Nothobranchius furzeri: one gene and its partner. The protein of the gene in region 2 interacts with the protein of the main gene of each other region in a biochemical or structural test. Links are inferred from orthologs where the notes say so. Each region holds a gene or a part of one and is shown on either strand. Other genes may lie near its edges.

What was found.
Region 1: the proteins of msh4 (region 2) and mlh3 form a complex in vitro, tested with the Homo sapiens proteins (2 studies listed by BioGRID). The link is inferred for Nothobranchius furzeri from reciprocal best matches to the Homo sapiens genes MSH4 and MLH3.

What each region holds. Positions count from the first base shown.
Region 1 is NC_091758.1:32,493,641-32,498,018, reverse strand, and holds the start of mlh3 (DNA mismatch repair protein Mlh3), read right to left. Parts: upstream 2,854-4,378; 5' UTR 2,588-2,853; coding exon 211-2,587; intron 121-210; coding exon 19-120; intron 1-18. Other genes in the region: acyp1 (acylphosphatase-1), read right to left, coding at 3,732-3,947, 4,284-4,371. UniProt on the Homo sapiens protein: Probably involved in the repair of mismatches in DNA.
Region 2 is NC_091758.1:32,021,779-32,024,937, reverse strand, and holds the end of msh4 (mutS protein homolog 4), read right to left. Parts: intron 3,022-3,159; coding exon 2,897-3,021; intron 2,349-2,896; coding exon 2,148-2,348; exon of another isoform or gene 2,127-2,147; intron 2,061-2,126; coding exon 1,942-2,060; intron 1,873-1,941; coding exon 1,744-1,872; intron 1,537-1,743; coding exon 1,362-1,536; intron 1,290-1,361; coding exon 1,201-1,289; intron 994-1,200; coding exon 820-993; 3' UTR 587-819; downstream 1-586. UniProt on the Homo sapiens protein: Involved in meiotic recombination. Required for reciprocal recombination and proper segregation of homologous chromosomes at meiosis.

The DNA of each region.
Region 1 (4,378 bases), about 470 kb from region 2:
GTTGTGACGATGAGGTACCTCTACTGTCAGTCCCTGCGCTAATCACTCTTTCTGGCCTGGATTTAGGCAGGAAAGGCAAAACTGAATCCACCTGAAATGGGTAACACCTGTACTCCACCCCTAGAAGAAAGTTCACACAAGTAATGACACTTTCTGCAAACAAACGGAGCAGTTTTAAGGATTTATATGCAAGTGCATTCGCCACCTCACCCATCTCAGAGATGACGCTGACCGCCATGTTGGTGACGTCAGATGTGCAGCGTACTTGAGTTTCCTGCACAGCCGGGTCTTCATATCTGCTGAGGCCGGTCATCCTGTTGACATAAACAATCTTTCCAATAGATGCGTCGTAGTGATGAAGCCAGTGATCTTCCTCCTTTTGGTTCATTTGAGGATTATTACAACTGTCCAACCCTGGGTCAACTTGATCTTCAGGGTCCTGGGAACACTGATTATCATGTCTCTGCTCAAGTTCATCATTATAAACGTGCCGGGAGACATTTTCTGTCTTTTGTTGCTTCAAATTGCAAAGTTTAGCCGTTAATGACATTTGACCTTTTCTCTGATCTTTGACGTCTGAGAGGGTCAGCGGTCTTTGGGAGCTGTTCGGTGTCCTCTCTTCCTCCCTTGTTCCCGTGGCTCGATTGTCCTCACAAACAGATATAGTCTCTGGATTGTTAGCGAAGCTGTTAATGGGAGGACGTTCACCATAATTCTGTAAACGAGGATGAAGTAACTTCAGTTCAGAATGTTTAACAAACGTTCGTCTGAACTTGTCGAGCGATCCAAGCTCCCGAGATGTTGACAGTTTCTGGCAAGAGAGGATTCTGGGAATCTTAAAGGGAACGTATAGTTTCTGAGAAGCTCCGTTGTTATCCGCTTCCAGAGTGTTTTTGCGTTTTGAGGTTCGTTCGTTGTAATTAGTTTGGAAGTGGTCCCGGATCTGCAGACTTTTGTGAATGTATGGATCAGACAAACCGATCTTCCTGTCACTTACAAAACTTTGTTCATGTCCATCTGGAGATTGCATCTTTTCCTTACTGCAGTCTAAATCAGACTGAACAGCACGTACGAAGCTGCGTCTTGAATTTGTCTCGCAGGTTGCGGTTTTATCAATCAACTGTGTCTCTTTTTCCTGCAAGAGCGCACATTCTTGACTATCTGGCGTTTGTGCAGTTCCAGAGCCTTCACCAGACTGACTGAAAGTTAGCTCCTCTTCATCGTGTGCATTTGGAGATGCAGACTTTAGATCACACTGCAGAGTCCTCTGAGATTCGTGAACAGATGTTCCTTCCTGCTCAAGTTGATCCGCCTCATCGGCTCTGCGCTCCATCAGACCAGACTCACGGCAAACACCGTCGTCTGTACTTTTGCGATGAACAGATACCGACGCCAGCTTCATTTCTATGCCACAGTCAGTGCTGGAAGTACCAGGAGCCGCTTGGCCAGCTTTGATACTTTGATTTTCCGTTTTGTCAGGAACACAGACTTCTGAAGACACACAGTCCAAGTCATCCTGAGAAGACACCAAGTTCTCCCGCTTCAGAAAAGCTTTGACTGCTTCTTCGACACAAAGCAAAACACCATCCCAGTCTTTGAACTCTATCAGAGTTTTGGCAGGCTCAAGACAAATGTCATAATCCGAGTAGGAACATTTGATATTAATGATGTATACTCCGTTTTGCTCATGGTTTCGTTTATGCTTTGGACTCCGAAGGACAGAAGTTCCATCAGGAGCTTCATTCTTCTGGTTTGAGCTGCTCAATCTGCGTAGGAGGAAGTTAAGCAGCTTGTGGATGTGGGTTTTCAACAGCAGCCTGTCATTCACGTACAAGTACTGTAAACTGTTATTGTAGTGGCCTTCTTTGCCAATATAACCACCCACTTCAAACTGCTTGTGTGTGTAGCTGACTTCTGCCAGTTTCTCTGCCCGTGCAAGGCTGTGTATCTGAACAAACCTGTGGTAGGTGTTTCTGGCTTTGGGAAGCTGCACCATCATGGTGCCCGTGCAGTCATTCTTCAGGGTAAAGGACACAGAAGGATGCATTAAAGAAATGGCTTCGACCCTGTGTCTGATCCGCTCACCCTCCAGGACACCATCAACCCTCTTCCTCCGGACTGGCATGTTGTAAAAGAAGTTACAAATGACAACAGTTGTCCCCGCGGATGGTCGAACAGTCTCAGCTTCAAAGACATCCAAGCCCTTGCCATCCTTGAATAGTTTGACGTGTGTTTTTACCGACAGCCTGGTCCTGGATGAGATTTCAACAAGTGTGGCTAAAGATACTAAACTTGCCAAGGCTTCTCCTCGGAAACCATACCATCTCAGGTTGTCCAGGTCTTCAACAGAGCTGCACTTGCTTGTGCAGTATCGATTCCCAATACACTCCAGGTCCTCGGCAGTTATCCCAGAGCCGTTGTCGATCACCTGAACTTTAAATGCTTCCATGTCCATCCGGACGCCCACACAGGTCGCACCGGCATCGATGCTGTTCAGGATGAGCTCCTCCACGCACTGCTGCAGCGACGGAATGGCGACACCGGAACGAAGTTTCTCTCTAAGCTCTTTGGGCAAACTCTTGATCATGCTGCCCTCGCTTGTTTTTACATTTGGTCACATTTTCTGTAGTAAATAGAAAACGCTTTTAAAAAGTCATCGTTGCTACCTGCGACATGCAAGATAACGTGTTCTGTCAAATGAAACGAAAGTCCGAATTAACCGAAACACGTTAAAATAGTTTGTTAGACAACATTAAATCAGCTGTTTACAGGAAACGAGTTGCAAAAAAGAAGTGACCGTTTTCACTTTTAGCTATTGGCAAAAGGTAACACTGCCCCGTGCTGGTGAGTAACAGATTAGCGCAATTCTTTTAATTGACCAATCACACAAGCGATCCAAACTCACGCAACCAAACCGTGCTCTGACGTAATGGTCTGCTGCGTTCAAGTGATATGGAAATCTCGGCACTTCTTGGTTTTGAACCTTGAGATGTCAGATTTTTGTATGTTGGATGGAATGTTTAAACACATATTTTTCTGAAAATAAAATAACCGTATGTTATAAGCGTTATCTAGTTTTAATTTAGTTAACAATACAAAATTCCTACTTGAAACTGAAGTAAGCCTGCTAATGCCATCAAGTTTGTTCAATTTAATACAAGCATCTACAACTTTTACCTTCTGGAAAACTGCATAGCTGTACAGATGAAGATCCTTCACGGGTTAGGAGACACATTACAAATGCTAAATATCTGTTTAAGTAAGTTGTTCCCACTGAATGCCTTGCTTTGCTTCAACCAAGTATGGAAACTCAACAGACCTTTTAAAAATACTTGTCACTGAAACATGCAATGGTGTCACTAATAATTAATTTCAACTGTATGACTGACAATAAGAAATGGCAACATCATATTGAGTCTGCATGAAAATTCAACAGCTAAATTGAAATAATTTATAAATGTTTTATGAAAACTTGAGCTATCTGCTATGAGATGAATATTTAGTAATTGCCCCCCCCCCCCCCCCCCCCCCCCACACACACACACACACACAGGGCAAATAAATCAAATTCAAACACTATGAAATGTTTTGGAGAACTTACATTTATTAGGACAATCATGAGTGTACACAGTGAACAAATCACTAATATTTTTTAATACAGATTGTTAAAACTAAATAAATAAAAATAAAAGCTTACATTTTAATATTACAAGTACAGACAATAGCTTAATTTATTTTACAACATTAAAGGATGAGTGTTCCAGCCTGTCAACTACTTTCTCATTCTTGAACTCGGCCTTGGTGATGTGTGATTTGGGGCTCCCAGTTGATGTTAGCCATTCTTGCATTTGTTTGACTTTACTGCGTTGTCCTTGTAGCTGACCCTGAACGGTTCCTGCTGGTGTGTTTTGGACCCAACCAACCAGGCCAATTTTCTTCCCCTCAGCCTGGAAAAAAATATTTATATAGGAAGATACAAAAGATGTAGGAAAGATGTGAGCAAAGCAATACAAAGAATCTGGCATATTTATAGAACTCGTGGCACTTTTGAATATTGAATAAATAAATTATACTACTGGCAAATTAAATGATAAAAGGAATCAAACAAATCTACAAAAATCTAAATTGTTTTTTATTCATTCAGGCATTAAATTATTTATCAATTTGTATTTGAGGCTCATAAAAAATAAGATCATTGTAAAAAAAATTATAATAAATAAAGGCAAATTAGTTTTATTTTAACACCCTATCAAAATAAAAGCGTTTTGCAATGTCAAACTCACTTGAGTGTATTTCCGAAAAAATACACCTTGGACTCTTCCAAAAATTTCATAATCCACAGAAATTAGCTCTTCACTGGACATAACGAACCTATAAA
Region 2 (3,159 bases):
CTCTCGGAAGGCGTGGAAACCCACCCCAACGGGCCTCTTTAGCTAGCGCTAGTGCTAGTGTGGCTCAGCCCTCCTCGGTTGACATCTCTGACCCGGACTATCGCTCCATTCCTCCGCGGTGGGCCATTCCCAGGCCTCCGCGAGAGCCGCTGGCTCTCCTGGCAGGAATCCAACATTAGCATCAGCGGAAACAGCTGTCCGATAAATACCTGTGGCTCCTGTCGTCTGTTCCTCTAGCTGCAGGTGAAATGGCGTTGTTCTGCGGTGACTCTGGCAGACAGACTCCCGACTTCCCAGGGCAGCTCCAGCCTGGCTTTCTCTTCCGTCACACGCTCCGCTGTTTCTGGTTCGCGGGGGCGGGTCATAACTAGTCAGCTTAGGGAGCGCTCGTTTTGATAACCGCGGTACACCAGGCGTACCGGCCATGAGGTGTCAACCAAATGCTCTAAAAGAGGTGGCTGCTGTTTTTAAAAATTAGTCACAAAAATAAAATAATACAAATATTTACACATATTTTATTGTTAATACTTCAGCCAATCAATCACTGTAATTATGTCTGTGAAACTGTAAATTATTCTGGCATAGCTTTTATTTTTATATTCAATTTTTTATTTAAATTTTTACAAATCTGTTAAAACAAATCCTTACAGACATTGTGTTGTATCATACTGTCAAACAGAACAATTTAACAGAAAATATTATCGCTGGCCTTTAATGTTCAAATACACTCAAAATGCCCTGTAAAAATGGACGAACAATGTCGTTTTATTCCAGTTCATCTTCCATCGTGAGGAGAAAATCAATTATTCATCCTCTGAGTTAAAGTTCTCCGACGGCCTGCAGCTCGGCCTCATACTGCCTCTTCAGTCCCTTCAGATACATCCTCAAGCTTTCAGGGTCTAGTCTTGAGTTTCTGGCGGTCTGCAGGAGGCGAGTGGCCAGACGGTAAACCGCTCTCTGTCTCTGAGTTTCTGGATCAGTTTGATGTCTCGCCTGGAGCAATAGAACACACGCAGTTGTTAATTACTCACACAATTAATTTTCTTCATAGCAGCAATTAAACCATGTTTTGGGGTTTAGCGTTAGCTCCTTCTGTTGCATATTATGAGGAGGACTTGCTAAAAAAAAACATCAGAAAATGTCAAGAAAAGCAGAAAAGGCAGTTGGACAAAATGTCAAAATCTGATCTTTGAACCACACCAGAAGCTGCCGGCTGACTTGAGAGGCAATCGTCTTAGCTTCTTGGATCACATCTGAAGGCAGTGCAGTCATTTCTGCTGCTCTCAGACCTACAGGAGGAAACGGGAATCTCTGTTATCCTTTTGCATTTCAACAGGACAGCTCTTGGACTCTGACTGTACCATAATGCCTCTCTTCAGAGGAGCCACGGCTCAGCAGATATGTGTACACCACATGCTCTGCACCAGAGTCACCGCTGCGTGTGTGCTGGACCTCCATGTGCTGGTTCTCTACGTTAGGATAGAGAGACTCCAGCTGACACAGCTCAAGGAAGTGTGTGGCAAACAGCGTGAACGCCTGCAAGCAGCAAACGGGACACACCTTGAAGATTAGAATAGCAAACATGCAGGATTTCTCTGTTTGTTCTGCTTCTTTGTTGACCTAAGAAGTTGATCGCAGCAAAAGACAAAAGACTGAATTGACTTGTCGTAGGAATCTGAATGATCTGGTTTTAATTTCAGAGACAGAAGTAGCTGAGCTAAGCTGTGCTGGTGCATACTTCACCTTTAGGCGGAGGAGGAACTCACACACTGAGTGGCAGATGCCAATCCCTTCTTCAGCACTAGTGCCACGGCCCAACTCATCTATGATGATCAAGGACCGGTCGCTCCCGTTGTGGATTATGTAAGAGATCTTAAGCAAAACAATCATATTAATGACTGGTTGGACGTGAGCAGTCCTTGTGTGCACAAAGTGGCTCACCTCCTTCATTTCCAGCATGAAAGTGGAAGAGTTGGTCTCAAAATCATCGTCTACACCAATTCTGGTGAAAATCTGATCGGCAATGCGAAAGGAGGCATATTCAGCCGGGACGAAAGAGCCTGAAAAAATCATAACTACCCGTGGTTAAGACATAACGTTAAGTCACATCTATCGTTTCTAACAAGGTTTGAAGATCTACCGCTAACCGATCTGAGCCATGATCTGACACAGCGCCACCTGCTTCAGGTAGGTGGACTTGCCGCTCATGTTGGGTCCTGTTATGATGACAAAGTTGCTGCCCTCGGTGATGTAGGTGTTGTTTGACACCGGCTGCTGTCGAGCTAGCCGCTCCAGAATGGGGTGACGACTTTGCTTGATGGCCAGAGTGTCTGTAAACTCAGGACGAACTGTCAGACACACACACACACACACACACACACACACACACACACACACACACACACACACACACACACACACAGGTATTTGGTGAGCGACTAATTTAGGGAAAATCAATTTAAAAATATGTAAAAGTTGGTGTTTGTAGGTAAAATCTAAATTTAAAAGAGCAAAGTCACATGGTAATCAGCTTATCGCTGACTGCGTTCAAAACGAATCACAGTAAAGCGAACCAATCATTTCTGAGCGAGGTGTGTGCAGCAGCGGTTACAGGTGTTGGGTCAGCTGCCGAACTTGTCTCTGCAAATACAGAACATCAGCGTCCGCTTATGTAAGAAGGGTAATCTGAGTACATGCTGCCGGGGACAGAACGAGGCAGGCAGTCCGCGTGCGTCTATGAAGAGACGGTTTCAGACAGCTGAGGGCCAACACTCTCCACCCACATGCCTGATGGTGCAGGAAAAAAAGAACTGAGTCCTGCAGAGGTGCAAGCTCAGGAGAGACGTAACGGGTCATCCTGCATGATGGTGGCTGCTTTTTGTGGGGGAGTAGTTACCATAGTCTGAGATTGTGCACGCATTAGCCAGTGAGATCAACATGTCCAGCATGGATACGGCATCCGAGAGTTTGTAGAGGCAGTGGATGTGCTCATGGACGGTGCTAAGCAGCTGACATATCACCCTGGGGAAAAGAAAAAAACATTAAAATCATATGATGGCTTGCAAACATCGCCCTCTATTGGTGGGAAAGTAACTCCTATGAAGACTCAATGTTGGAATTGTACAAATACAGATTCTAAATACAACCAGTAAGACTGGA